Oryza sativa Japonica Group: one gene and its partners. The protein of the gene in region 2 interacts with the protein of the main gene of each other region in a pairwise test. Links are inferred from orthologs where the notes say so. Each region holds a gene or a part of one and is shown on either strand. Other genes may lie near its edges. The genes, in order: uncharacterized protein At3g52155, chloroplastic; scarecrow-like protein 3; glyoxylate/succinic semialdehyde reductase 2, chloroplastic.

What was found.
Region 1: the proteins of scarecrow-like protein 3 (region 2) and uncharacterized protein At3g52155, chloroplastic interact in binary tests that used the Arabidopsis thaliana proteins (3 or more experiments, as listed by UniProt). The link is inferred for Oryza sativa Japonica Group from reciprocal best matches to the Arabidopsis thaliana genes SCL3 and AT3G52155.
Region 3: the proteins of scarecrow-like protein 3 (region 2) and glyoxylate/succinic semialdehyde reductase 2, chloroplastic interact in binary tests that used the Arabidopsis thaliana proteins (3 or more experiments, as listed by UniProt). The link is inferred for Oryza sativa Japonica Group from reciprocal best matches to the Arabidopsis thaliana genes SCL3 and GLYR2.

The regions. Positions count from the first base shown.
Region 1 is NC_089043.1:10,764,606-10,774,987, reverse strand, and holds uncharacterized protein At3g52155, chloroplastic, read left to right. Parts: upstream 1-5,421; 5' UTR 5,422-5,532; coding exon 5,533-5,836; intron 5,837-6,837; coding exon 6,838-6,937; intron 6,938-7,429; coding exon 7,430-7,609; intron 7,610-7,715; coding exon 7,716-7,833; intron 7,834-9,392; coding exon 9,393-9,449; 3' UTR 9,450-9,773; downstream 9,774-10,382. Other genes in the region: ycf20-like protein, read left to right, coding at 2,510-2,658, 3,952-4,393.
Region 2 is NC_089035.1:42,358,079-42,368,412, forward strand, and holds scarecrow-like protein 3, read left to right. Parts: upstream 1-5,306; 5' UTR 5,307-5,451; intron 5,452-5,838; 5' UTR 5,839-5,985; coding exon 5,986-7,314; 3' UTR 7,315-7,626; downstream 7,627-10,334. Other genes in the region: uncharacterized protein, read left to right, coding at 9,607-9,853. UniProt on the Arabidopsis thaliana protein: Probable transcription factor involved in plant development.
Region 3 is NC_089035.1:22,654,915-22,665,140, forward strand, and holds glyoxylate/succinic semialdehyde reductase 2, chloroplastic, read right to left. Parts: upstream 6,959-10,226; 5' UTR 6,890-6,958; coding exon 6,672-6,889; intron 6,441-6,671; coding exon 6,375-6,440; intron 5,883-6,374; coding exon 5,807-5,882; intron 5,697-5,806; coding exon 5,641-5,696; intron 5,545-5,640; coding exon 5,460-5,544; intron 5,319-5,459; coding exon 5,258-5,318; intron 5,152-5,257; coding exon 5,099-5,151; intron 5,009-5,098; coding exon 4,938-5,008; intron 4,833-4,937; coding exon 4,760-4,832; intron 4,674-4,759; coding exon 4,569-4,673; intron 4,465-4,568; coding exon 4,303-4,464; 3' UTR 3,678-4,302; downstream 1-3,677. Other genes in the region: aTP-dependent zinc metalloprotease FTSH 5, mitochondrial, read left to right, coding at 522-779, 865-989, 2,204-2,680, 2,766-3,677; probable pyridoxal 5'-phosphate synthase subunit PDX1.1, read right to left, coding at 7,487-7,828. UniProt on the Arabidopsis thaliana protein: Catalyzes the NADPH-dependent reduction of glyoxylate to glycolate as well as succinic semialdehyde (SSA) to gamma-hydroxybutyrate in vitro.

The DNA of each region.
Region 1 (10,382 bases), on a different chromosome or scaffold from region 2:
TTGATACCGGAGTTCAGTCGAGGGCTACATCTCCAGGGCACTAATTACAGGCGCTCCTCCCCGATCTAGCATTTTCAGCGAATTAGAGTTACAACGAGCTGGCGCCGCCGCCGCCACTTGCCGAGAGAGAGAGACGGGATATGAGAGATGAATGGATAGGGTTAATCTGAATATATAGAATTAGATGTGGATAGGGTTGCTTCGTGGGTATTCTCATCATTATAAAAAGTTATTATATTTCATTTCTTTTTGAAAAGCAGAGTCAAATAAGCAAACAAAAAAAGGTCAGATTAGTAGTTAGGTTAGGCTTCGAAACATAGTCATATAAAGAATTATCCCATATATATAGTATGTTTCCATAAACGGAGGCAAGATACAACTCAAAACAAAACATGCATGTTTTTCAGATCATGTTTGAATTGCATACTTTATTAATAGTGCAAACTCTACTGTGCTACCAACTCTCATGTGGGAGCTGCAGTGCACGGTAAAAAAAAATCACACAAGTACTTGTACTACTACTACTTCACTGTGCCACCCACTCCACTCATTTTTCTTCACCATGAAGATGAATTTTCCCCCAATCATTTCACCAAGAAGCGGAGAAACCGCAGCAGCAATGAGCTCATGGTGGTCATGGCGCCGCCTCTTCTCCTCGTTGGATAATGGATGGGGCAGCAAAGCCGACGCTTCCTCCGGATCCGGCACCTCCTCCTCCCCTCCCGTCCCTCAAGCTCAACAAGCAGCAGCAGGGGCGCGCCACCAGGAAAGCGCTCGCACGAAGAAGCCTCGGGAGGGCGGGCCGGCCAAAGCCCAAGCCCAAGCCGAACCCTCGCAATCGCAGCTATAGCCCGCGCCCAGCAAGAATCGTCCTTCACCGCGAAAGGCCATGCCAAAGGTATCCAAGGCGAAGGTGCAACTGCAGCTCGGCGACGGCGAGCCAAAGAAAAAGCCAGCCCCGACCTCGTCTCAGAAGCGCAACAACAAGAAAAAGCGGGTGGCGGCATTCGAGCGTTGTGGTCCAAGGCCGACGAGCTTAGGATTTTGGAGGCCATGGCTAACCACGTGAACACCCATCGTAGCACTCTGTGGGATACATGCCGTCTGTTTCCCGCCCTTGCCAGCAGCCTCGACAAAAGAGACGCTGACCTGCCCGATCTCGCCGACAAAGTCCACAAGCGGAAGAGATGGTATGGCAATGCATGCTTGCAGCAACGCAGCCGGACTGACGACGACAATACGCGTTGATTGTTGGATCATGGAGCAGCACCAGGTGGACCTGATCGGCACGAACGTGGTAGCGCGGTGTGCTTCACCTAAGCCTAGAGACTGCGTCGCCCCCAGGGGTGGCGCTGGGGAGGCAGAATGTCTCCTTGTTTTTGTCCCTGGAGCTAGAATCCATGAGCTTCTCCAATGTGCTTCAAGTTATTCCTCTACACCCTGCCATGGCGATGGCAGCCACCTTTTCTTCCTCCTTCAGATCACGAGGAAAATGCAGTTTAACTAGCAATCTCAAATAATCCACCGTCTCCCAGCATTGTAACAATCGCATGAAGAAATAATCTGGTTTTCTTTTTGAATGTACTATATAGCCATTGGAAGGGTGTTTTTACTGTACCTCCCACAGGTGGGTGTACTAGTGTAGTAAGAATAAATCCCACTGTTGATTTTGGTGGCCATTTTAGTCATTTGTTTAATTAATCCCGTCTCCTCATTCGTCGCCGCCCTCGCATTTTAGCATCGTCGTCTGGCTCTTGCTGTGCGAGCGACGGCACCTCGGTGCCTCTTTCGTCGGCGGCGAGAAGAGCTGAAAGAGAGAGGAGGAGACGGGCAAGCGTCGGCCTCCGTGAGGGCGTCCTGAAGGTGAAGGGGCGAGCCAACCTCACCGTCGACGCCAAGGACAAGCTCCTCCTCCAGCTGGAGAGGCGAGACGCCGAGAGGGCAAAGACCTCCTCGGCCGCACCACCCACAAGACATGTCATCGCTGCTCCGGCAGTCCGGCCAAGGTGAAGAGAAATGGGGAGAGAGGAAGAGAGAAACGAGAGCGGGAGGAGGAAGAAGGATGGAGATAGAGAGGATAATATGTGGGCTCCACACTTTTTTTTTGTGTGAATGACTAATGGGTTGCACACATTTTTTTTAATTATAATGCCACGTAAGCGTCACGTCAGCGAAACCACTCTCCAAAACCGTTGAAAGAGTCAAATTATACTGGTTTCAATAATCAGGGGTCGTGATATATGGTATTATGGTTCAGGGATACGAATCAGATTTAGGCACTAATTAAAGGAGTGAAAGTGAACTTATTGTTGGTAGCGCTCGTAGAGATTCTCTAATAAACCAAACACAAAGAGCCCACTGTCCATAATCTCCAGCCCAGTAACAGCCCAATGGAACAAATTGCATATATCCACGGAAGACTCAACAACAGCCACAGGCGGACACAGTCCTCACTCCTCAGCGGCTCAGCGCAGAGGTCTCGTTCGTGCGGTGTCCCCTGCTGCCGCCCATGCCGCTGCGGCGCGGCGGAGCCCTCCCTCTCAGCGCCCCGCGGGCGGCAGCCGGTGGCCTCCGCGGAGGCGGCGGCCGTGGTGCCGCGCTTCTCCACCCGACCTGCTTGTCGCCGCCGGGAACAACTGGCCGAGCCTTGGGCCTCAGGTTAGCTCTGCTCATTGTTGTCTTCTATCCGTTACTTGAATTTTGTTATAAAAAAAAAAAAAGAAACACCAATTGGCAATTGGGTTCCAATTAGACTAAGTTCAGTACTAGGGGCATCAGAAATTGGGATACTTGGGGTTAAGACTAATTCAGAACTAAATTGTCGGAGCTATTGGGAGGCTGGGCGTCAATTTTTACTGTCACTTTTGAATATGTACCTTGTACCAGTTTCTTTCGAGCCCGTATGGATTGGGGGAATTTTGGGGGAGCAGCAGTTTTACCTTCTCCAATTCATTTGCGCACATATTTCTAGTTGGGGGTGTGTGCTGCGACAGTTCCGTGGCACTTTTAGTATATCTGGTTGTTTATGTTTATGATGAGTTCGTGCTACCTGAACCATGTCCATAGTCGGGATGTTCATGGATTTAGCACATTTTTTGCTGACTGTTAGTCCGATTATATTGTCTGTTCAGATTATATTGAAGTTAAGAAGCATATAGGTTAATGTAAAGCTAGGCACTGGGCTGATGTAAGTTGGGGGTTTGACTGTTTAAAATGAATATAATATGGGCTCACCCAAACAAAAAGGATGGAATAAAGGGAATTGCGTTGCACTGCATGTTGTTAGGAAATGCACGCCTGCAGGTTGTGCTCTTGAAGGTGACATGGATGCAGACTTTCGACAAAGTATTGCATTTACCTTCTTCAAACAGTATTGTGATTATGCCACTAGGTTCCATACAAAATATAAGAATTCGGCACGTAATCGTTATATAATATCAATTTGTGGTATACATTAGATCTTATTACTGATAGTACCCATTTTTAGTTTATATGGTATCTACCGCGTTGTATGCTTATACCATTTTGAATAAACAAAATAAAACAATAGAACTAATCCATCTGTCAACAAATATATGACACTTTGGACATGATAAGATCGCTAGTGTGTAAATTTGACCGTCAAAATAACTGTAATACATTGTGTTACCAAAACATTTTTTAGTCACTTAATTGTATTATTTTGACATGAGAAATGTAAGATAGTTCTCTATGTTGTAGTGGTCAAAGTTCAGAATGTTTCCCCACAAAATAAAAGTTCGGAATGTTTAACTAGTCAAATTCGAAGTTTCATATTCTCTGGGGGATGGGAGTAGACGAATTGCTAGCTTCAAAACTGAAGCCTTGTACAAATTGGGAAAAAAAACATGATTGGCGCTGCGCAATCAACTTCTTAAAATCTCTACCCTGTAGAAGCTTTGGCACTTTTGACTCAATATCTCCACTCTGTAGTTGCCAGATGAAAAGAACCAGATGGAAGCCAGTCTTTGCCTTGGAAACAGGTGGACCATCTAACGCTGACAACCAAGATTTCGAAGATGATGGTGGCTTTCTTGGCAGAACAAGGCTGGGAAGACTCATCCAGGCTGCTGCGAGGGAACTACTTGAAAAACTGAATTCTGCCAGGAACAAATCCCCCACAAAGATTTTCCTTGTGCTCCTTGGCTTCTATACCGCCAATGCATTGGCAACAGTCCTGGGGCAGACTGGTGACTGGGATGTTTTTGTTGCTGCTATTGTAGTGGCTACCATTGAGGGAATTGGCATGCTCATGTACAGAAAACCGGCCAGTAGGCCTCCTGGACGATTTTGGTCAATGATCACAATGGTGAACTACTGGAAAGCCGGCGTATGTCTGGGCTTTTTTGTGGACGCGTTCAAAGTGGGAAGCTGAGTTTCCAAATCACCTTCTTATATGTACTTACAAGATTTATTCAGCTGACAATGATACAACGAGTGAACTCCAAGGGTCGAAGCTGCTCCTGTGGTGTTGTATGCAGATAGATATGCTGTGAACTTTACTTCGGCTATAAAATGTACATATGATGTAGTCTTGTTTTGTATGAAATTCATGTAGATATATTATACTCTAGTTTGATGCCCATCTGTTCCTATAGACAAATAATGAAGCCTGTTGTAAGATGACTCTGTAGTTGGCTATGTCCACACCAGGCACACTATTTAATTAGCTACTTGTCTTATTGACTATTTTCCAAAAGGTTATGTTTTCTTGCTAGCTAGTCTCTCCTGTTCAAACAATGACTGAACCAGGACATATGTATACAGTCGCTTCTGTTTTGAATTTCACTTAGTTGGTTGTAATAATTTTATTTTGAGCTATAGTGCTAACCAGGACATATGTATACATCACTGCCTAATTTTGGCCTAAATTCGAAAATTTTCCTATATTTAGAATCCTTTTTGTCCTGTTATAAAATTCACTGCCTGAATTCAGAAGACCTATGTCTAAATATTCTTTTTGGCTTGTCAAATTAATGTGTTCTACGTAGGTCAAAACAGAGAAATTGTGTGGCATTGTTGTCACTATTTGAAATTTTAAAACATGTGGAATACTAAAAAGAAAACAGAAGGAGAAAAAAAGTGTAAATTTCATAAAATCCCATGTTTTGGGTACAAGCTATAAAAAACCACAAATATTATGTCATTTGGCATTAAATTCTAGGTATTATGGTTTAAATGTTTCACGAAATTCCACTGTTATGCATTTTTGAGCACGGATTAAGGCAAAATTCAAAAATATAGAGTACCTATAAAATTTTAAAAATTATCAAAAATTGAATAAATGTAGGGTTTCATGATACACGGAAACAAAAAAAAAACCCTGTGATTTTCTGCAACTTTCTACCTATTTTTTTTCTGAAATTTACTTTTAAAAGAAAATCAGGAGCATCTAGAGTCATCGTCTCCCTATCCATCCATTATTCTCTTCTCCGATGAGTCCATGACAAGCGACCGACCACCTCCACGACGACGACCCACCACCAGCAGCGGCGGCGGCGGCGGCGGCGGAAGATGAGACCTCCACCCGCGCCGCTCTCCGGCCGTGCCTCCCCGCCTCCCCACCTGCTCCTCCTCTCCAACTCCTCCCTCGCGCCGTCGCTGCCCACGGTCGCTGCCGCCTGCCGCATGCCTCCCGCCGCGGCGGCGGCGGCTCGCTCCGTCTCCGTCTCCGTCTCCACCGCCGTCGACGCGCCCACGGCGGCCGCCGCGGAGCCCGCGCGAGGGGACGCGGCCCCCGCGCCGGCGGCGCCGCCGCGGCGACGGCTCATCCTCCTCCGGCACGGGGAGAGCGCCGCCGGAGGGCGCCTCACCAGAGGTACGGGGCCCCCATTCCTTCTCTCTCTTGCTTTCCTTTCTTTCGAGAAATCGGATGGTTTACACCTGACAGTGGATAGGAGCATCAGCGATTTCTCTTTCTTGCGATAGGGAATATGATGTACATTTCTTTGCTATGCTCTGGCTGCTCAAAAGATTGGATGAGATAGTGCACTTGTTATGCTGTTTGACACATTTCTTTACTAGTGTTGCTTGCAGCAGAATTACAATGGTCCGATGAAATGAAACAATGTACTTATTCTAGAGAAATGTTGCTACATATACTACTCAACAAAAGGGTTATTGCAGTTATCAAAAGAAATGGTTCCAATGCATTTACCATTTGTGTGTTATATACTTCACAACATTAGTTTAACGGCCAACTCTTTGAATAAACTAGGTGATTCCCCGCACTTTGCTGCGGGAATTAGTAAGCGATTCTCAATATTTTTTTTTGACAGTCAAGCTAGGAGTAAAACGGGAAAAAAAAACATCAGGGTTAATCAGTACTTATTGTGAAACAAACAAATGATACTCGTGCTTTATTGTAAAACATATTGATGATAAATATATGTTAAACATTATAAAAATGATAGATATACTTATTAAAATATTATGCAAATGATGTGAGGGGTGCTGATTGGATATGCTTGCATGTTGATTTGTACAATTAAATAAATTGTAAATAATGTTGTATGCTTGCATGAGGTTAAATATGTAATTATTGCAAGTGATGATGTGGCATGGTTGTGTGTTGAGCTTTATACTTAGTGAGCTATAACTTTATAGAAAGTATAGATGTGAGAAAAGGGAACCGGGTGAGAAAGAGTCAAAATCGCCATATGCTCATTTGTTGTTTGTTCGATTTGCTAGTTAGTACGCACCATTTCGGTAGCCATGCAGTAGTATGATAATCCCGGATGTCTTTGTTGTTGATAATTACTGGCTCTTGCATTTATTTCTAAAAGACTAAACACCATTTGGCATGGCTATCAATGTCAGATCATGACAGACCTCTAAGCAAAGCAGGGAGAGCTGCTGCAATCAGTGTTTCTAACAAGCTACAACAGATGGGATGGATACCTGAGCTCGTCCTATGCAGGTAACAACTTAGCTTTTGTAAGAAAATCTGTATACATTGATTATGTAGAAGGCTGCTAATGGACAAAAAAGCTTGAAAGGCTGCTAATGCAATATGAGTGTTTTTCTGGAACTTCTTTCCGGTCAGCAGGGTGCAGATTCACATTAGCTTTTTCTCTACCTCCCCCTTTCTTTGCTCTTTCTTTTTTCAGGTAGGAGTAGATCTTGTGTCGCCATAATTGATATGGTATTGCCACGTGAGTTATGATTGCCTTGGATGTGTAGTGGTTCATCATATATACTCTACCGAGTTCTTTTTGGTGATATCTTGTTTCAGTGGAATGTACATGCCTGGAATACTTCTCTATTATTCATTATAAGTATCATCTTGCCCATCCAATTATTTGAACTTATGTCTCTGAAATGCCTAAAATCACATAAATTGTTTTTCTGGTATGCATATAAATAGAATAGGCCATCCACCTTAATTTTTTTTTATCCTTCTTCAATACAGTGATGCAACTCGTACAAAGGAAACTCTTAAGATCTTGCAAGACCATGTTAAGGGATTGTCTGAAGCAATCGTTCACTTTATCCCAAGTTTCTATTCAATTGCAGCAATGGATGGTCAAACTGCTGAACATTTGCAAAAGGCAATTTGTCAATATTCAAGTGATGAAATCCTAACTGTAATGTAAGTCTTCTAATTTGTTTCCAATCATCCTATGCTTTGAATCTCATGCTCAGATTTTTTTTTTCTTCAAGTCCGATCATGACATTTTTGTAGAATAAATATTCAGGTGTATGGGACATAATAAAGGATGGGAAGAAGCAGCCTCTATGTTCTCTGGTGATTCAGTAGTGCTTAAGACATGTAATGCTGCATTGCTTGAGGCTGAAGGAAAATCATGGGTTGAGGTTAGTATTATTCCTGTGACCAAAAGTTGATTCCTTTATTTCCTAGTTTTTGTACACTTCTATTTTGTGTCTGATGCCATACCATCATTTGGATTACTTGTGAATTGTCAGTTGAATCTTACGGCGGGTTACATTCTTAGAGCTGTTATTGAACCTCCATTGAAATGTAGTTCTGTTGTCCTTGCATCATGTAACAGTGGTCCTAAAAGGCAATTTAGAAATCCAACTATAACATATAACATATGATGTACTGCTTGATTTCGAGGAAATCAATGTATGACAAATTCGAACCCTCAAGACTAAACTAATGGGGACACACAAATTTGGCAATGCAACTAAATTTTCATAGGCCCATACCTTGACAGTTGTTAATGTGTTATGTGTATGTGAGATGAGGAAATATTAGCATATATAACCATTAGTTGATCAAGTTTCAGTAGCTTATGCAACTTGGTTAGTCATGTGGAAGTTGGTCTTATGTGAGATTCATGAGGTGACTTGGCCTCATCCAATGTTTTCGGTTTGTTTGTTGATGTTTAGAAGAAATGTAAAATCAATAATCTAGCACCTTACCACATGGAACCTAAGGTAGCAAACATTGGTATTTCAACAACTCCAATTTTGTACTTAAGAACAATAAGTCAAAAAAAGATCAAATTTGTTATGCCGTTTAGCTCAATTCAAACAGTAGTTCATGGGTGCATGAAAAGGGTAGCATATTAATGACATTCTCAGAAGAAGAAATGCATGAAATTGGCTGGCTGGGTCTAACGTAAATGTAGTAGGGGTTTGAAACTAGTGAGATTGAGGATGACTTAAAACACGGCATTTATTTTCATTGTTTTGCAAGGAATGGCATCTAGCAAGTGCTTGCAACAAGAATGTCTTAGTTCCACCATTGCAAAAGTCAGTATTTTCAAATGCACACCCAAGCAAGAAGCTGGCCTGTGGCCAAATGCTAGTAGTGTAAGTGTGGTTGTACATGCAGCATACTAGGGCTCAAATTCTATAATATTTGGCAATGACATCTATCCATCAATTTTACAAGTGTACATCCACACTCTGTGGGACGCATTTGATGCCTCCAACTGGACATGCATAGTCATGTACTCATGTGTGCCCGTGGTATTTTGAGAGGGCGTGTCTTTAGGGGTTGTTTGGTTGATGGCTAAGTTTACTACATCTCACTTTGTCACAAGTGTGTTATGCCACACAAAGTGAGGCTAGCAATTTGTTGGCCAGAAGTGTGGCTAAGTTTCGCAATAATTTCAGTCTATGACGCGTAGGAACAATGATTAGTGTGTAGAAATTATTATTCCAATTATTACACTGCAAATTGAATTCCAAAATTGATAATACGCCTATTGTAACCTTTGCAGAAACACACACAAAAACACGTGCCACCGCGTGCATGCTGTGCACACATATAAGTATAGGCATGAAAGGCCATAGTTCTGTAAACACGTCAATTTGCTCGACATATTTTTTTTTAAATACTGAGTCTCTAGATCGTTTGGTGTTAGAAAATTTGCTAAATCTCTTTGCAATATGGTATGCAGGCCTTTTCGCTGGCTGGGCTTGGGGGATGGAAGCTTCATGGCATTGTAAAGCCATAAATCGTTGTAACTAAAGATAGATGCCATTTTTGTAGCTGTTTTCTTAATCCTCATTTAGTCATTTTTCCTCTTGTATAAGTTGTAACAATCGTTAGATCTCACCGAAGGAATAACATGAATAGATAGATGAGATAAATGAAAACCTCTAGATGCATTAAATACCAGTACTGTATCTGATAAAACCAAGTTTATAGAGCGGCCAAAAAAATGCTTGGTTCTATCTTATAGGTATAAGTTCACTTTGGCTACCTTGACTAGTCACCGAATCTTATCACCCAATTATTAAAACCGATGTAATTTATCTTTCTCAGTGGTTTTAAAACACGGTTTAGCTTACTAGCACCTACATGGAGGTGTTGATCTTATCTTCGTTCCACGTGATGCTTATGTGGCATTAGAATTAAAAGAATATACATGAGATCATTTGTCATTCACACAAACAATATTGTGGGACCCACTGACATGTGGGGTTCACATGTCCTCTCTCCTTCCCTCCTCCCTCCCTCCCTCTCCCTTATCTCCCTCTCTTTCTCTTCCTTTATCTTTCCCTTTGGCCGTCCGTGGGGAGCAGGGACTAGAGCGGTGGCGGTGGGTGAGGCCGAAGTGGCAGTGGCTAGCTGCAGGGCGGGAGCTAGAGCGGCGGCGTTGGCGCTCCACATCCACGTAAAACCTTTTCTTCCTTCCACTTCTCTTTTCTTCTCTTTTTCTCCAAGGTGGTCGGTGGTGGGCAGCAGGGAGAGAGCCAGGCGGCGATGCATGGCCTCTAGGCGCCGTTCCTCTAGCCATGTCACCTCCTCTTCCACCTTTGGTATGGCGACAGCGTGGTGAGTGAATCTGGGGGAACAAAGGAGCGTGCGGAGGCGGTCGACCAAGGGCAGCGATGACGGTCGGGTGTGGGGGTGGTGTGGGAAGGCAGGCACCCCTGGACCTACG
Region 2 (10,334 bases):
TAAAAAAAACGATTTGTTCTTTTTCAAACGAACAACACTAAGCAATATGATGTTTCTTCATTGAATATAACTTTAGAAAAGGAGTATAAAACTAAACACTAAAAGTCTGTATTAAAAAATATTAAAAAAACACCACGTGATGTTTTATTGAATGTAGTATTAAAAAATTACAAGGAATAAAATGCATGGAGGGTCACTCGATTTATTTAAGTAGTATGTCATATAGATCATTGTACTTTTAAAATTCACATCTAGGTCACTATACATATATGCTCATATAGGTAGTTACATGGGTAAATGTAGAGTGACCTATATAACACACTAAATAAGTTGAATGACCCATCATGTACTTTATTCAATTACAAAACTAAAATCCTGTAAAGTTATATCCAGGAAAAAAAATTTAACCCCATTCACCAATATTAGGGTGGAAAAACTCAAAAGAGTTTGTGGCTTAAATCGGATCAAACTCATAATCTTAATGAGTCGAACCAAGCTAGGATTTTAGCTCATATTTTTATATACTCAATACTTGTTAATCTGCTGCTTAGTTTTTTTTACACACAAACTATTGGTATACGGTGATTTATTTATTAGTTAGTGTTTATTATTATATTTTTAATATAATTAAATTGTAAGTTTAAAATTACGAAAATGACTTAAATGTGTTAATGAGTTTAACAAGCCAGCTTACGAACCGAGCTAGGCTTTTAACTCTTTAAGATTAATGAGCCAAGCCAAGTTGACTCGTTAAGAGAATGAGCGGAGCCTTAACGAGCTATGATGCCTCTCCTAACCAATGTCGCCCGCACACACATTAAGAAAGGGATTAGCATCGGGCCAATCACCACCGCAAGTCCATTAAATGAAGCTACAACCGTACCGTCTAACACGGACTCTACCTGTAGCTTGTAGTTGTCGATACGGTTAGAATAATGGTTAGAAAAGGGCATTTTTTTTTCACTTCGGTTATAACTGATCCAACTGTTCTTTTTTAAAAGAAAAACCGTTCTTTCTGCCTCTTTAACGGATTTCAGCCGGAACAGAGCAAAACTAAAGTAAATCTCCCAGTAAAGTAAAGCCACTTCAACGGATCTGCCTCTCGAAAGAATGATAATTGCTCACTCACTCACTCGTCGGTCAGATTTAAAGAGCTAGTACTAGTATTAACTGTTTTTTTAAGTACCCTCTCCCTTTGCCAACTGGAAGGAAGGAATTACTCCCTAGGTTTTTTTTTAAGTACTCCCTCCGTCCTTAAAAAATAAAAAAAGACAAACCCTAGATTTTTGTGTCCAACATTTGACTATCCGTCTTATATAAATTTTTTTATAATTAGTATTTTCATTGTTGTTAGATGATAAAACATGATTAATATTTTATGCGTGACTTATCTTTTTAATTTTTTCATATTTTTTTTAAATGAGACGGATTGTCAAACATTGGACACGGAAACAGATGATTTGTCTTTTTTTTTTATGGAGGGAGTACTCCGTACTACCCATCGCATTGATGAAACCCAGCTGGTTTTGTACAAACCGCCACACAAAGCAAAGCAATGGCTAATCGCATGGTACAACAACACACAATGTACAACAACAACATCTCTCTCTCTCACAAATGGCACAAACGCAATGCACATGCCCTGCCCCTGCCATGGCCGAGGTGGCCGGTGAACATTTATCAACGGGCACGCAAACGCAACTGCAGCTAAGCTACGAGTAGCTGCCTGCCTGCACTGCACGGGTCGTCACGGCGAAGGGAAAGGAGAAGGATGGGCCACCTGCGGGCGTAGGGAGAGTGAACACGCAGCGCAAGCGTCCAAGTCGCGGAAAAACTTGCTTGTCGTCTCGTCTTTTAATAGGGTGGACGGATCCACCGGACGCCAACACCCACTTCTTCGGTTCTTCCCCTCGTTTGCCCTTTGTTTTGGCCTTTGGAATTTGGATGCAGCCGCCCCCGCCCGCGGCTCCCTTGGACGCACTCGCCACCTCCCTTGTACTCATAGATACGGCGGCTTTAGCATGCTTTTACCTACCTATGTCATCACTTTTTATACATTTTTCTTAAGAAATACTAACCTCCGTTTCAAGTTAGAGCAGGTACAATACCAAGCTATAAACCAGCTACAAATATATTTTAAAAAGATAAAAGAAGAAAAAGAAGAGCAGCGGGCAGCACAGACTCCAAAACGTAATATGTGTATGACAAGTAGGACCAGATATTAATAGTATAGTAAGCAACTATTGTATAAATTGGCTATTACATTGGTTATAGATGATTTGGAGCTAGTAGTGGGCTATACTATTAAACTTGCTCTTATAAGACTTTTTAGCATTTCCCACATTCATATAGATGTTAATGAATCTAGGCATACATATATATCCAGATTCATTAACATATATATAAATGTGAAAAATGCTAAAAAGTCTTATAATATAAAACGGAGGAAGTAGCTCATATTTTGGCCTGAATTTGATAAAAAAGTAACTCTGTTGGTCAAAACTTTAAAACTTATGTCTTTAGCGATTTAAAAATCAACACGAGATATTAGTAAAGTAGAGGATACCGGTAAAACTATAAAGTTAAAATTTAGAAGGGATTTTTAAGCCATAAGGTATGAATAAATCATGCTAAGCAATTTATAGTTTTGCTCGGGGTTATTCCTACATGCGGTTACCGAGCTTATTGCAGGGGCATGATAGAAGTAAATAATCGGTAGGGTTTGATAAATTTTGTTTGAATTTTTTTGTTTAAAAAATGGTGGGAAATTTTCCACCAAGTAGTTCCTTTTTTTAGCATTAATTTGTCACAGTTTTGTTATGGTTATCGTACAGTAGCCGCGCTACTGTCGGGGTCGGTAAATATCCTAGAGATGGTAGAGTGAGGACAAACAGTACATGTAAGTCGAGTGAGGCCAGCAGGAGTGTTAATTCTGCGGTCAAACATGCATTGCGCATCAGAGCCATCCTAAGTTCTTTTTTACTCCGTATTATTTTTTCCCTTTAAGAGAGGCAAAACAGGACGCTGGATCACTATCTGTCCGTCTACAAGCAACCTCATTCTTCTCCCTTATAAAAACACATCCGAGTATGGAGCCCAGTGTCGTTGCCTATGTTTTTCCACCTTGTTCCACCTTTCAAAATATAATAATAGTTTTTAGGATTAGCAAATACTAAAGTTAGATAAAAAAGTTTACTCACTTTAATTATTATTTTAAAAAATTTAAATGTCTTAGATTTGCTTTTCAAGCATCTGATTGGTTTTGGAGTCATCGTCATTATTTTTCTAGTCAAACTTATTTAAGTAAAGTTTAATCAGGATTGTAAAAAATATAGCAACATTTTAAACGCAAAACAAACATTTTATCAAAATACATTTAATGTTATACTTAATTAAACTAATTTGGTGTTGTATATATAGATAAATTTTTCTAAAACATAGTCAGGCCTAAATAAGTTTATCTAGAAGAAAAAAAAATTAAAACGGCTTATGATATAAAATGGAAAAGGTATTATTAAGGTGCAAAATGTGGATCTTAAAATCTTTATATTCTACATTTTCTTTGTGCAGTGTATTGGGTTTTCCTCTCAGCAGCTAGCTCTAGTGAGCCTGCAGCAATTGAATGGGTTCTAGAGTTGTTTTCAGAAACCATCAGACTGACCGCGGGGGAGAGAGAGAGAGAGAAGAGGGTGGCAAGAAAGAACAAAATTAAAGGAGGAGGAGGAAGAAGAAGTGGGGGCGAGTTTTGTTTTGTTGTGGCGTCGTCGTCGTGTTGCGGGGATGGAGGAATAACGAGGCCCCAACACGCCATGCTCCTTCTTGTGTTTATTCTTCCTCTCGCCACCTCGCGACAAGAGTCGTGGGGGCTTACCGGTTTCTTTACCTTTACTGTATTTTACAATTATACTATTTATTATATATTGTCCCGAAAAAGCTATTTATGGTAGTACTGCGAGCCACCTTTTGCACATCCAACCCTGCATGCTCCCCAATTAGCAAAGCTAGTGTTCTTTCGGGGTAGCACAAATTGAATACTGCCTCCGGCTTTTAATAGATAATGTATTTTTGACCCTTTTTTTTATTATTTTTTTAAAAAATATAATTATTATTTATTTTATTATGATCTGTTTATTTCATTGAAATTACTTAAATAATAAGTATTGCATATGCTCTTTTTATTAATATATGTCTAAAAGTTAACAGTGACGTATATTAAAAATTAGAGAGAGTACTGCCACTGTCACGAGAAAACTCTATTTCTACTATATACACTTGGACCATTACACATGAATTAAAAATAAAGTATTTAGCATTCCTAATACTCCATAAGTTAAGAAGAACAAGAATGCATTCTTTTCTCTCTTAAAGTCGTATCTTTCTTGCAAGATTTTCTATGGCATATAAGAAAGAAGGCAAAATGCACCTTATATTTTAGCATAAATTTTGATAGCCTATGTCCAGGTAACATGGTAAAATTATTTTATTTCCTTCTCACTAGGTGTTGTTCTTTTTCAGATTATTCATCAGATTATTAAAACATATTATTTGCTCAACGCTTAGAAAATATTCTCTTAAATAGCTTTTTTACTGCATTGATTATACAATTATTTTAATCTACTTGTTAAGTTCATTTCTTTAATATTTATTTGTTCTTATAATCACTCCATAACCCGTAACAATAGTCTATTCAATAATCTAAATTAAACATGGCCTAATTTACAAAAACACAATAATCTAAGAAAAATGGATACACCCAAACTCATAGATAAAGCATTCAAAAAGAGATGATTTACACGCAAGCTATGAAAAACCGATAACGAGCTTTAGCTACTCGCCCATAATAAATACTTAATCCGTGACAACAACAACAATCTAAATTAAACACGTCTAAGTTGCAAAAGCACAGTAATATGACAAAAAAAAAGATGCTCCCGAACTCAGAAATAAAGCCATAAAGGATGGGATACCGATCGAAAAAAAAAAGAAGCACGAGGGTTTACACGTAAGCTAAAGTTAATACATAAGAAAAACCGATAAGAAATTCGGAAATTAGCGAGGTTTTCCGCTACTCGAGCAGAGGTAGAGTCGGTCCACGCAGATTACGGGAGAATAGAAGGGGCAGCGTGCAGTCTCGGACAGAAAAAAAAAGGAAAAAAAAAAAGAAGAGGAGTGAAATGAATGCTCGGGCCGGTGCCGGTGCGCGAGTGGAGACAAGCGCGATGCGGACAAAAAAAGCCTCCTCCGCTTCTTGTCGCCAGCGCGCGCACACAACCCCCCAAAAGTCCAAAGCGCAGGCCGCTACTACCACCAAACCCCATTTCGTTCATTTCACCTGCTCTCTCTCTCGTCCTCTTTATATCTGCAATTCTGCATCGTCTCCTCTGAAAGATTGTGAAATCCTCTCTCTTCTCTTGGGACGGACTAGGGACGCTGCTGCTGCTCCTCCTTGAGGTGAGCATTTTCTTCCTTCTCTTTTGTTCACTTGTGGTGGTATGCATGCATGCCGCTGCTATGCCTCGCCTCTCTCGATGCAAGTGTTGGAGGATAGGATAGGATGATTGATAGATAGATAGCTCTCGTCGTTGTCGCTCGCTGCTTGTGCTTGTGGGTTGTATCGCAGAAATAAATGGTGGCGATTTGCTTTTGTCCCGTTGCCTGAGGAAATCTGGCCCCGGTATTGTATTTTTGTTTCCCGAGCTGTTTGCTTCTTGTTTCGATCCTCTTGGACTTTTGGCGCCAGCTTCTTCTCATCGTCGCCTTCATTGCGCTACACTACTTGCTTTGCTTTGCTTTGATTATTAATGGCTTCTTCTTCGTCTCCAATCTAATTCTGCGCAGGCAGAGCTCGCAGCCTTTTGCACCCTCACCTCGCGGGCTCCACTCATCACAAAACCTCAAATGCGCCCGTGCTCGTAGAATCGATTGGATCAAAGGTTGTAGCTTTTTTGTATTTCAAGGTTTGGGGGGGTAGCGCTGGCGAGGCTGATGGTCCAGGACGAAGGCTCGTCGTCGTCGGTGACATCCTCCCCGCTCCACAACTTCTCCAACATGCCGCTCCACCCGGCCGCGGCGGCGTCGCCCACGCCGCCATGGATGGTGCGGGAGCTGCGTTCCGACGAGCGCGGGCTGTGCCTCATCCATCTCCTGCTCAACTGCGCCGCGGCGGCGGCGGCCGGGCGGCTTGATGCTGCGAACGCCGCGCTCGAGCACATCGCGTCGCTGGCGGCGCCCGACGGGGACGCCATGCAGCGCGTGGCGGCCGCCTTCGCGGAGGCGCTGGCGCGGCGCGCGCTGAGGGCGTGGCCTGGGCTGTGCCGCGCGCTGCTCCTGCCCCGCGCGTCGCCCACGCCGGCCGAGGTCGCTGCCGCGCGCCGCCACTTCCTCGACCTCTGCCCGTTCCTCCGCCTCGCCGGCGCCGCCGCCAACCAGTCGATACTGGAGGCCATGGAGTCCGAGAAGATCGTGCACGTCATCGACCTCGGCGGCGCCGACGCCACGCAATGGCTGGAGCTCCTCCACCTCCTCGCCGCGCGCCCCGAGGGCCCGCCGCACCTGCGCCTCACGTCGGTGCACGAGCACAAGGAACTCCTCACCCAGACAGCCATGGCGCTCACGAAAGAAGCAGAGCGCCTCGACGTGCCGTTCCAGTTCAACCCGGTGGTGTCCCGCCTCGACGCCCTCGACGTGGAGTCCCTCCGCGTGAAGACCGGCGAGGCCCTCGCCATCTGCTCCAGCCTCCAGCTGCACTGCCTCCTGGCGTCCGACGACGACGCCGCCGCCGTGGCGGGCGGCGACAAGGAGAGGCGGAGCCCGGAGTCCGGGCTGTCGCCGTCGACGTCGCGCGCGGACGCGTTCCTGGGCGCGCTGTGGGGGCTGTCGCCGAAGGTGATGGTGGTGGCGGAGCAGGAGGCGAGCCACAACGCGGCGGGGCTGACGGAGAGGTTCGTGGAGGCGCTCAACTACTACGCGGCGCTGTTCGACTGCCTGGAGGTGGGGGCGGCGCGCGGGTCGGTGGAGCGCGCGCGCGTGGAGCGGTGGCTGCTCGGGGAGGAGATCAAGAACATCGTGGCGTGCGACGGCGGCGAGCGGCGGGAGCGGCACGAGCGGCTGGAGCGGTGGGCGCGGCGGCTGGAGGGCGCCGGCTTCGGCCGCGTCCCGCTCAGCTACTACGCGCTGCTCCAGGCGCGGCGGGTGGCGCAGGGCCTCGGCTGCGACGGCTTCAAGGTCCGGGAGGAGAAGGGCAACTTCTTCCTCTGCTGGCAAGATCGCGCCCTCTTCTCCGTCTCCGCATGGCGCGGCCGCCGCTTCGACTGACCGCCGCCGCCGCCGCTGCCGCCGCTCGCCGCCGCCTTCCCGTATTTCTGCGAAGGAGACGCCGCCGCGACTAGATTACTTGCTGCTGCTGCTGCTGATGAACATTCATGGTTAAGCTAGTCTTTAATCTTTTTCTTTTTCATTTTTAGTAACTGTTTAGTTCCTTCTTCTGTTTGTGTCATCTGGCTTAGGTCCAGGTGAATTCGATGTCCTTGTGTTGTTTTGTTCATAGTGTGTGTGTGTCTCTCTCTCCGTTTTGGTTGAAATGCATAATTTTCCCTAGGAATCAATCAAGTGAAGTTTACTGAACAACTCCCTCCCTCTTTTTCGTACTACACTACTATTTCTGAACTACTTGCTCATCGGAAAGGCATGAAGGTCGTTGCATTTGGTACTAAAAGACAAGACAACAGTGCCAAACCTGAACGTACACTCCTACGTGAGTTTCGTATCAGTTACGTAAAGGAAATCCAGCAAAATTAAGCTCTGCCTGATGATGCCGATGACGACGAGAGTGGTAATCTCGTCCTGAAATACTATGACTTTGGATTTGCCCTTTTCTTTTCTCATGTTACGACGCTCTGAATTCTCCGTGGAAGAATTCAACTTTGGGCGTAGCAATTTCAACGTGTCGGAAGAAGCGGCCAAGATCGAGCTCACCTTGTCGGAAATTCCACGGAATCGGCAGCCGGTGGCGTGGCGTTTCCAAATTCCACCAAACTTCTGCCAAAGTTGGGAGCTCCAACCTCAAAAGCGTCCCTGCTTTGCTTTCCACGGTGAAATTGGTAGCACCACGCGTGATGTTAATGTCGGTTTCACCTCACAGATTAATCACCATCTAATCAGTCTCTCTTATCAAACATTAAAGAAGAAAAAAAAAAGATCGATCGAATCGTTCACCTGGAGCCAAAAGCTGTTGCCGTTTTACTAGCAAAGACGGATGCTCGGATCAGATGCTCCTTTCCTTTTCTTGACAAATGGCAAGGATGAATGGTTCCTTCCTCAAAAATTCGCCTTTGGATTATCGTTTTCACGGACCTGTTTGCTTCCTTCAGGTAACCGCATAGCTGCAGCCTGCAGCCACTGTGGATTCTACTTATTCTTCATGTTCTTCATACTAGTACTCCAGATATCATATTTGGATATCTGAAACTTTTCCTGATACACCTGTCCAACGTTTTCAAATATGTGATATTTAGAATTAAGTGGTCAAAATTGCATATTGGTCACTTCAGAAAGGTAAAAGATCTCATTCCTTTGTGACCTCTTTTTGGTTTTGAAAAAAAAACTACATTTTTTTGTAATTAGAAGAGAACGTGGAAGAGGAAAACAAGGGGTATAAAAGATCCAGGAGAAGCATGCAACCCAGCAAGCCTGGCTGGATGGGCCTTCGTGTCCTTCTAGATGGGCCCAATGGAGGCCCATAGTGTTCTGGTGTAATAATTGTTAAGAGAGGTCTTCTGTTCTCAATTATCAATTTTGCTATAGCTCACTCGAAAGATTTTTTTTTCTTATCTCTCACTCGATTTTCTCACTCAAATTTACAGTGCATTTTCTTGTAAGTTACAGTGTAACTTATGAAACTTACACTGTAACTTTTGTAAGTTACAATGTAATTTTTGAATCTTCGAATGTAAATTTTAAATTTTGTATTGGATTTGGTCTTTTTCTTGAGGATATGGTAATTTAGTGTCCATTATGGTGTTTCTTAATTGCTTTTTGCTTTTTATTATATCTATCGGATTTTAATCCAAAGATTAAAAATATGTGTGATACGATCATAAAAATCTTTCGAAAGATGTATAGGTACTCCCCTCAAATATTGTAAGAGGATGATCTGTAAGTGATATGTATTAATTAAGAAATCATATCGGACTCTACCTTTATACATGCCCTAACATGTGGATCTCTTGCCGATTCAACGAGTCAATCGCAGTCAACTTGTCATGTTAGCAGAAACCGTTTCCCAAACGACTGAATAAGTCAGTGTGCACCGGATTAAAGATGGGAGATGCTTTATACCCAATTTTACGTAGAGAGACGGTTTAATCAAGGAGCAGTTGATGGGAGAGGCGAGATAGACTTGTTCCAAAAAAGAAGGGACAGAAAGGTCCAGGAGAAGCATGCAGCCCAGCAAGCCCGGCAAGATGGGCCTTGGTGTCCTCTTAGTTGAGCCCAATGGAGGCCCAAATAAAACAGTCGCCTTCTCCATCGTCTCGTCTTGGTAGGTGGTGGATGGCCGGCGCGGGGATCGACCGCGTGACGGCGTGAGGTGCGGCGGCGGCGGCGGCCATGGCGCTCGCGCAGGGCACCGGCGACTTCTCCGTGGTGGTGCTGGGCTCCGACTTCGCGGTCGACGCCGGCGCCGTGCTCCTCAACCCGGCCGACCGGGAGGAGTGGCACGACTGCCTCCCCGACCTCTCCGCGCCCGCCGACGGCGAGGACTTCTCCGACCTCGAAGAGCTCCAGGTCGTCCGCGTCCAGGGCACCGACAGGGCCGGGAGGCGCATCGTCCGCGTCGTCGGCAGGTTCTTCCCTGGTGCGCCAAACGCCCTCTTCTCCCCACCTCTCCTTTCCTTTGTGGCTTTATCAGATTGGATCGTGGTTCCCTTCTGGATGTATCTATCATCTATGTGGGTGCGAATTATGTGAACTAAACAGGAAAAAAATTGGATCCTGGAGATTGATAGTTCATAGACCTTCTCAATTGTGTAGTAAATTTAGATTCTGATCCGCCTGCACTGTTCGGTAGATGCACCGAATTGAGTGTTTTGGACACGTTGAACTTGGGAGAGGTACACAGATTTGTTGAATGCTGGACCTTGAATTAATATATCAGAGCTCGTTTGCTAGCACTCGATCAATGGATGGTTTGATTGATCTTAACTAAATGTCAGATAATTCATTTGATAATTGCCTAGTTGGTACAACGTTTATCTCCGTTTTGCTGCCCTTCATTAGTGCCTGGCGCCCTGGCGGTGTATTGGAGCGGTTGCTGGTCATTTTTTATACCGATATTG
Region 3 (10,226 bases), about 20 Mb from region 2:
CTAGCACATATATGTTACCTTCAAAACTTCATCTCCTACTGTAGTTCAGCTTACTGTAATTTGTAATTCTTCAAGCCTGTGGACTGTGGTTACCGTAGTTCAAGTCTTACAAGGAAATTACTACACATTTCAGCAGTTAACAAAATCATGGATAATCATCTTAATATGGCATAGAAATTTTGCCATGAAAAAAAATCATCCTCTATTAGTCTATTGTAGTTCCAATTATATTTTTTGTAGTTCTTCATGGCCTGTTGGTTATCATGATGTTTGGTTATTGATTTTTACAACTGTGGGATGGGTCATAATCTTGACCCACCTATTCCTATCTTACAAGGGTAGTCCTATTTGATTTTGTCTTCTCAAGATAGGTTGAGAGAAACTAATTTGTTGTATAGTACTGTCCTTGTCTGTTGTTGACTAAACTACAACTTTGAAGCCTTCTTACAGTTCCTTCAATTAATAATGGTGATTCTTTGATTAACTTGGTCTAAAATTACATCCTTGCTTCATCCTTACAGGAATTGCTGCTTCAGCAAGGGAGGAAGAAAACCTTGGTAGTGTTTCAGAAAATCTTGGTAGTGTTTCAGCATTTAGAAGTGCTGGTCAAGTGACAAAAGATGGAATTCTTGGCACTGCAAATGCACCCATTCACATGGTTACAGCAGAAACAGGTCAATTTAAGGAACAGCTTTGGCGTACCTTTCGAAGTATAGCGCTAACATTCCTCCTGATTTCTGGCATTGGAGCTCTTATTGAGGATAGAGGAATAAGCAAAGGTTTGAATTCTGAAAGATCTGAATGGCTAATTCCTTGTTTACTGAACTTATTCCTGTGTAGTTCTGATTGATAAAATATGTGTAGGCCTTGGTCTAAATGAAGAGGTTCAACCAAGCATGGAATCTAATACGAAATTCAGTGATGTAAAGGGTGTCGATGAAGCCAAAGCTGAACTTGAGGAAATAGTTCACTACCTCCGAGATCCCAAGGTAAATGCTTTTGAGCCCCTAGTCTTGAAAACTGGTAACATTGTCTAGCTGTTTGGATGCAGAGTTATCTGAACATGTTTCTTACAGGTTTGTTCCCCCCATCTGATAATGGTTTTATATTGCAGTTTTTGTTAATAGACATTAATATTTAAGAGGTTCAAGCCCAGTTGTCCAAGTGCAATGGATTAATTTTGACATACTAACGATGTAAAGTTTAAAACTGTTCTGCAATAGATTTATCTCTGACTTTCTTCATTGTACTGAATCACGAGGTATTGATAAGCTAACTCAGTTTATCTATCAATATCCTGATTGATTCAAAACCTTTGTTTGATTTCGTTGACAGTTTCCAGCTTGTTAGTTCTATTACATGCACGCTGTTACTTTATTTGGTAAATGCATTATAGATATACCTTTTCAATTTCATTGTTAATTCTAGGTTGTTTAGCTCACTTATTATAATTTAGATAGGGGTAAATTTCACATTGGACCATATATTTGACCAAGGTTTCACAATGGACAAGGACTAAACCAGCATTTTACCACATATCTTAGCATTTTTGGTAGTTTGGACTTTGGACTAGGGTTGAGCACATCAAGGGAATATGTGAGAAAAAAAGCTAATCCAAACAATCATTTTAGTGTTTCATAATAGTAAGATAAATATATTTAGAGAATTCCGTCAAATGGTATTTTAGCAAATCGAAAAACAAGTTTTTTCAACAGATCACAGGAAACAGTGATGTGAACATGTTCTAAAAAGGGCACAAATTAATCTACACAGACTCACAGAGGAGCAAATGAATAAAAACGAAATATAAATAGAACTTATTGATTAGATACCACTAAAAAGAATGAACAAAACATACAATGTGTTACCTCCTATTTTGGTATTCATCCATGCTTAACCACATAAAGTTCTCACATATTCTCTTGGTATGCTTACCCCTAGTCCAAACCACAAACTAATGAAATAATATACATGGTGTTATGTGAAAACATTGATTAATCCCTGGTACATTATGAAACTTTGGTCAAAATATGTGGCCAATGTGAAATTTACTATTTAGATAATGTGTGGAATTGATGTCCGGTTATGTCACATATATCTGTTTATGCATCGTTAAGCCCATAAATGGTGTGAGGATTTACCCCTCATTTTCATCACATGCATATGTTATACGGCAAATGACAAGCTGCTTCCTTGTTTTCAGCGTTTTACACGTCTTGGTGGAAAACTGCCAAAAGGTGTCTTGCTGGTTGGTCCTCCTGGCACTGGAAAGACCATGTTAGCAAGGGCTATTGCTGGGGAAGCTGGTGTTCCTTTCTTCTCATGCAGTGGTAGTGAATTTGAGGAGATGTTTGTAGGCGTAGGAGCTAGAAGAGTCAGGGACCTTTTTGCTGCAGCTAAAAAACGTTCTCCCTGTATCATATTCATGGATGAAATTGATGCGATCGGTGGGAGTAGAAATCCAAAGGATCAACAGTATATGAAGATGACGTTGAACCAGTTGCTTGTCGAGCTGGATGGCTTTAAGCAGAATGAGGGGATAATTGTTATTGCTGCAACCAACTTTCCTGAGTCCCTAGATAAAGCACTAGTGAGACCTGGGCGCTTTGACCGGCATATTGTTGTTCCAAATCCAGATGTTGAAGGCCGGCGGCAAATCCTAGAGTCCCATATGTCAAAGGTAATTCTTGAGAACTTTTGGTATCATGTTTGTCCAGACTAAGATGGAATGTCTTATATTTATCCTTATACACATATGGTTACAGGTCTTGAAGAGTGATGATGTGGATTTGATGATCATTGCCAGGGGAACACCTGGATTCTCAGGTGCAGACCTTGCTAACTTGGTTAATGTGGCTGCTCTTAAAGCTGCCATGGATGGGGCAAAAGCCGTTACAATGAATGATCTTGAGTATGCCAAGGACCGGATCATGATGGGCAGTGAGCGCAAGTCAGCAGTTATTTCTGATGAATCCCGGAAATTGACGGCGTACCATGAGGGAGGGCACGCCCTTGTTGCCATCCACACTGAAGGTGCTCACCCTGTTCACAAAGCTACCATAGTTCCCAGGGGAATGGCCCTTGGAATGGTGGCCCAACTCCCGGATAAAGATGAGACAAGCGTGTCACGGAAACAGATGCTGGCAAGGCTGGATGTGTGCATGGGAGGGCGGGTGGCGGAGGAGCTTATTTTTGGGGATAGCGAGGTGACATCTGGCGCTTCATCTGATTTTCAGCAAGCAACTGCAGTGGCAAGAGCAATGGTAACCAAATATGGTATGAGCAAGCAGCTTGGCTTTGTTTCTTACAATTATGAGGATGATGGAAAGAGCATGAGCACCGAAACGAGACTCCTGATTGAGAAGGAGGTCAAGTGTTTCGTGGAGAATGCTTACAACAATGCAAAGAATATTCTCATCAAACACAACAAGGAGCTCCATGCTCTAGCCAATGCGCTGCTTGAGCACGAGACGCTCACCGGTGCCCAAATAAAGAACATATTGGCCCAAGTAAACAACAAGCAGCAGCAGGAGCATGCTATTGAAGCTCCACAGAAGACACCAGCTGTACCATCATCTCCAGCTGCATCAGCTGCAGCGGCAGCGGCAGCTGCAGCAGCCGCAGCACAGCAAGCTGCAGCGAAAGCGAAGGGTGAAATCGCCGGTATCGGATCTTAGCAGTCACCAAATGATGTTGGATCGATTGACAGCTCTTGAGGATCACGAAGAGTTTGCTAATGCTGCTGCAGTCATCAATAGAACATATTGATTGTGTGTAAGCTGTTATTTCGTTTCATGTTCCTCAAGTGTGTGGTAAGAAAACATAAGAGAAATCATAACATTGTAGAAGGCACATTTAGACTCTGCTTGATATGTGAATTTTTGTATCACATGGCCACACACACGGAAATACTGTTTACATCCTAATAATTTTCAGCTACCTTAGACGTTGGATGGTTATACCTAACAGAGAACCTGTTGTATTTGTCTAGAATGGTAGCTCCAGAGTCCATTTCTTTAGCCCTGTGATGCTCCCTTGTTGTACTGTATGTTCTGCAAGTTGACAAAAGAAGTTTTTCTGTATCTTTGCTGAATTGCCGTGTAATGACAAACAGTAATGTTGGGGCCAGATACTCGCCAATTGCAGGTATTCTGTCATCAATCAGTTTTTTATTCCTGAAAAACAAGTATTACTTCTGTAACAAAATTGGGAGAATTGCCATGGTTTCAGTTCATTGATAGACAATGCTGCATCAATGGCAGCTGAACAAACATTTTGTTTCCTATGCATCAATGGCAGTTTTCACTTGCTCTGCTCCTTTGCCTTCAGCGCCTCGATTACAGCAGAGAAGTCCTGGTCTGCAAGCCCAAGCGATTTCGCGACCTTGTACAGCTCGTTTGCAGCTGCGACTGTAGGAATAGACTGGGACACCGATTCTGCCAGGGCCAATGCGAGCCTCAAATCCTGCCATGAAAAATCCAGTTTTTCGCAGTGCCACAGAAATCAGACGAGATGCAATTGTTGCTGGTTTTTAGTGCTGGCAACATTAACATGCAAGTAGGGGCTACCTTCTGCTGATGCTTCAGAGGAAAAGCAGTAGGGTATGCAGCTTTAACCATGGAAGGGCCCTTGAGGGAGAACATGGGAGCACTGATAGCACCTTGTGAAATAACCTGTAAAGGATCAATGTATGGTGTGTCCTAGATTAGATTCCTGTACTTGGGTATTTACCACTGAAGCACTGTAAGAGCTAACTAACCTCGACAAGAGTATTGGGGTCTAGGCCAACTTTTTCGCTCAGGAGCAGTCCTTCTGAAAACGAAACCATCATGCTGCAGTATTTTGCCAAGAAGATCAGAACTCATTCATTAATAAGTATCAACAGACTACAGGAGTAAGGTTGCTAGAATATTGAATGTGAAGGACTTCTTTGGTACCTCCCCATGACCATATTAACAACGAGCTTCATGTCTGCACCTTTGCCAACGTCACCGAGGAAAAATCTTGACTGATTTCAGAGTAAGGACAGCGTAAGTGCATTTCCTGGCTCAATATGAGGGCCTAAATGGAGTACTGATTGTAGATAAAAGAAGTTAACCTTGCCCATAACATCAAGGAGGGATGCCACTCTATTGTACAAGGACTCATCACCTTACACAAACGTATGGACCATTTCAGGTAACATAATAAGGAACATGACAGCTGCACACTGAAATCTCACAATTACAAAGCTTGGAGGTGTCAGGTGGAAGTTTACCTGCGGTAAGAAAGATGAGCAGCCCATCTTCTGCTGGCTTTTTTGAGCCTGAAACTGGAGCCTACTGAAAAGGTATCGAGTTAGCATTGGACCAACAGTACAAGAGCTGAAATCGCATCGCTAGCGACACATTGAGACAACACAATCAACAGTTGAACACATGACGAGTAGGGTACGATCAGTGGCAGGGACCAGAAACTACCTCAAGGAAAGATGCCCCAGTACTTGTAATGTGCTTGCCAATCAGCTTGGATGTAGCAGCGTCAACCGTCGACACATCCACATACCTGTGACAGAAAACACGATATAAGAGATAATGCTATCTAGGCCAGCACATTCTTGATGCTCCAGGCTTTCTGATGCCTTCTCACAGCAAAGATTACCCTTTCCCTGGGGCCATCCCCTGTGCAGCTCCATTGGCCCCGCATGCAACCTCAACCTGAGTGGAGGTACAAACCGTTAGACGAATGATTAGATCTGCCATGTGAGCTTTCACGAACACGAAATAGTATTGCAGACTGAAGAATTTTCTGAAACGAGGGCATATACCGCGCTCTCCGGATCAGCAAGCATCGCGAAGGTCACATCGCAAGACGAAGCAACATCGGCCGGTGAAGGCTCGTACCTGTAGGCAGGCAAGGCATCCTCTTTGTATCAAGCAAAGTGCTGTACATATCTTTTTGTCAAATAGAATTATGTCTTTTTTTTTCTCTCTCTTTTCTTTTCCCTGTCTCTCTGTTTGGGTCAGCATGAACAGTAATGACAGCAAATTTGTTATAGCTGTAAAGCCTCTGTGCTCTACAAGTGGATTACTTCTGAGTGGAATTTCAGGAAAAGAGCATATGTCATCGAAAAGAAAGTAAAGAATCACAAACGAAGAGCAAATTATGAACAATCTCCGTTTGTGCCTACCAATCCAGAGCTGCACTGCATTGCATTGCAGTGTCCACTGTCCAGCTCCAGAATCCTAATCATGGCGCACACTATTGCCTCACCCATTCAACAAGCAAGCAAGCAAAGCTAGCTAGCCAGCTAGATTGTTGATTCATAAGGGGAAATGGAAATGGAAATGGAAATGGAAATGGAAATGGAAATGCAACGGGTGGGGATGGCATACTTGGCGCCGAGGCTGAGGAGCGGGTCGCACTTGCTCCTGGTCCTGTTCCACACCGTGACATCGCACCTGCAGCAAGAGGAGACAAAACAAGCACACAACTGTAGAAGCATCAGCAGAAGCAGAAGCAGCAGCAGCAGCCATGAACACCATCGAAACCGTACAAGCAGAAGCTGACGAACTAGGCTCGAGACGAATTCCACAGGAGAGAGAAAAAGATATGTAGAACAGTAGTAACAGCTACTAGTACCAAGAGCAGAGTGCAAAAGGAAGGAGGAGAGCAGTTGCGGATTAGTTTACCCGGCGTTGATGAGGTTGGAGGCCATGGGTGCGCCCATGATCCCGAGGCCGAGGAACCCCACCTTCCCACTGAACCCTCCTTCCCCGGACGGCGACGACGAGGAGGCGGAGCAGGAGAAGACGAGGCGTGCTCCCCTGCCTCCGCCGCGTAGGCGCAGCGTGGGCGCCGCCGCCGCCGCCCTCGCGCACAGGAGGGAGGCCGCCGCCATCGCCGCCATGGATGCAGGAAGGGGGGAGAGAGAGAGATAAGGAAGGAGGCGCTGCTGCTGCGAGTGCGATGCGGGCGCGCAAAATCTCGTCTCGCGGCGGTGGTTTGGGCGCGACGCCGCCGCGCGGCTGCAGCGATGCGATGCGATGACGGTCTGACCCGACCCGGTCGAGCCGTGGTCCGGGCCCGGTCTGAGGCTGGCTACGACCTACTCGACCCGTTGTACGTGGTGCGTGGATGCCTCTGCGTCACACACGCACTCGCACTACTACAGTTCGATCGCGTCATCTTTATCCTCTGCATAGCCAACAACCACACCAAAGTGGCAATTCATACATGGCAAAATTTGCTATAGGACACCGAAAGATTTATGTGATCTTTGTTGTGAGACAGCCGAAGATCGTGTATTTGCTCGTGTACACTAAAAAAGTGGTAACTAGCTGCTGGACCCTCTTCTCATTATTTTATTATTTTCGGTCAAAATGGATTGAAAAAATTTAACTGTCAAAATGGATTGAAAAAATTTAGTTAAAGACAAATTTTCCCATGGGCCCACTTGTCAATCCCTCTTTCTCTATTGTTCTTCTTCCTCTCTCTCTCTCTCCGTTCATCTCTTCCTCTCTTTCTTCCGCCAGCGAGGACGACGAGGCGGCGGCGTGCTTGGACGCGACAACCTGCAGTGGGTGACGGCCTGCACGATGGCGCGGGCGCGGCGCGCGGGGTCGCCGCTCTTGAAGATGCCCGAGCCGACGAAGACGCCGTCGCAGCCGAGCTGCATCATGAGGGCGGCGTCGGCGGGGGTGGTGACGCCGCCGGCCGCGAACTGCACGACGGGGAGGCGGCCCAGCTGCTTGGTCTGCATGACGAGGTCGTAGGGCGCGGCGATGCGCTTGGCGTAGGCGAAGACCTCGTCGTCGTCCATGTTGCGGAGCGCGCGGATTTCGCCCATGACGGAGCGCACGTGGCGGACGGCCTCGACGACGTTGCCAGTGCCTCACAGACGTGGTGCGCGGCTTCCTCGATGACGCTGATGATGTGCTGTTCGGGCAGCTCGCCGCAAAGCACGCGACGACGCGGCGGCGTGCTTGGACGCGACGACGCGGCCGGGCCACGGCGAGGTGACGAGGTCGATGAGGTGGGCGGCGTGGGAGCGCGACGCGAAGAAGTCGAGCCCGCCACCGCCGCCGCGCACCGCGCCGACGCGGAGGGCGTCGCCGGCGGCGCCGTGGGCGATGCGCCGCCGCCGCCGCCCCGCCGTCCGCCGTCCGGGCCGGCCGCCGTCGCCCTCTGCTCCACTGCGAAGAAGAAGAAGAGGGGAAAAGAAAAGAAGTGAGAGGAAGAACACTGTACAGGGGTATTTTGGTACTTACACAACTCTTTCTCTCTCCATTTTGACCAGAAATAATAAAATAATGAGAGAAGTGTCTAACAGCTAATTACCACTTTTTATAGTATTCCACAATATTTAACCTTGTACGACACATTTGGGGAAAATTTTCCTCCGTACAAACCTATCCACTAGAGTTTACATGAGAAAAGAAGAATTTTGGATGATCAGTTTTGAATTTAAACATAATTCAAACCATCATATCATGTGTTGCTGATTCATGCCTTCAAATCATCAATTCACACATTTTGGTTGGGGTTTTCACCACGACGGCTTCTTCTATTCTCAAGGTACCACCTCTGTAAATATAAATGCATAAGTAATAGACATGTTCTTCAATACACAACTTTTGCCGTTGATTTTTTTTACAGTATATTATCAACAACTATGAATTGGCATCATGTAAAATTAATTCCAAATATGAATCTAATGCTATCAGGCAAGGAATTTACATGTAAAAACGTAAACTGAGCGTCAACTTGACATGAAACAACATCCAGTGAAGAAAACTTGCTGCTTACTTACAAATATTGAGAATTTCAGAAATATTCCCTCCATCCTAAAATATAGTAACTTTTGGTTGGATAGGAGGACATATCCTAGTACTACGAATCTGGACAGACCACCTATCTAGATTCATAGTACTAGGGTATATCTCATCCAATCAAAAGTTGCTATATTTTGGGACGAAGTGAGTATATGTTTTTGGACAGAAGGGGTGTTGTTGTAAGAATGTGAAGAACTACTACATTGTGTTCTATTTATTTCTTTTATCAGAAAACCATTATACTACACGATTTCATATTTCTTCTATTCAAGGATTGATCATACATGATTTCCTATTCATCTATTCCAGGGTTGATCTTCTAATCATGGAGACAATTTACAACAAGAAAATATTTGTGAGAATTGGATTCATATATTGTTTGACTCTTCTTCATCTCCATGTGATTATTACTTGTACCATTAGTATGTTGTATTTTAATTTCTCTTTTGTGGAGTAGGCATATGCTCCGGCCTTCCTTCACTTGGGAACCGGGAGAAGTGGGACTTAAGACAAATCATTGCACTGCATTGGAGGGATAGGTCTGAATTAGCTTTGCAAATATTCTTCCTCTTTTTACCTTTGTATGCAGAATATGGCATGTGCCTTCTTTTTCTTCTCTTTTTTTTTTTGCAGTATACACTAGTAGAGCTGAGTGCCACTCTGGTATGTGCTGATGTGCAAATGGAGTACCCTATCTTTCTGGGAAAAGTTAAAAAGAAAAACTTTACTCCAAAATCTCACCACTCTGTAGACTCTGTAGGATTGTTCATTGTGTAGAAATTTCAAAGTAAATGGTAGTATTCAATCCCTTCTTTCAAAGATCTTCAAAGATTTTTTTTTATTCTTATAGAATTAAAATCATCCAAATTTCCTATATTTTTCATAGGACTCGAAGTGGTTTTTAGGGCCTCTTTGAATCGCAGAAATAAAAAAAGAAAGAATAAGAAAAACACATGATTCTGATAGGAATGTAAGTGCAAAATGCAGGAATGACCATTTGAAATGTAGGAATTGGAAGAAAGAGATAGACTCAAAGGAAAATTTATCAAGAGATTAGAGTTCTTGCTAAATTTTCTCCAAAATCTCTATAGGATTGTCCATTCCATAGAAATTTCAATGAATAGGATAGGATTTTATCCTTTGTTTCAAAGGCCTTTATAGGAATTTTTTCTAAAGCGTTAAAATCCTCCAAATAAGTTCTTCCTCCAAATCAAAGGGGTTTTTAATGAATTAAAGCTCCATGAATCAAAAACAAACATATCCATTGCATAGCATTTGGCCGCGTTTATTCAAATTCAAAGGCCTGTCAAGGTGGAGCCTAAAACGGAAGTTTGCAGTTGTGGCAGGGGATCTTTTTCCGTCTAAAAACCTATGTGATATGACCTCTTAGTTATGTAATCTTGCAATACTTAA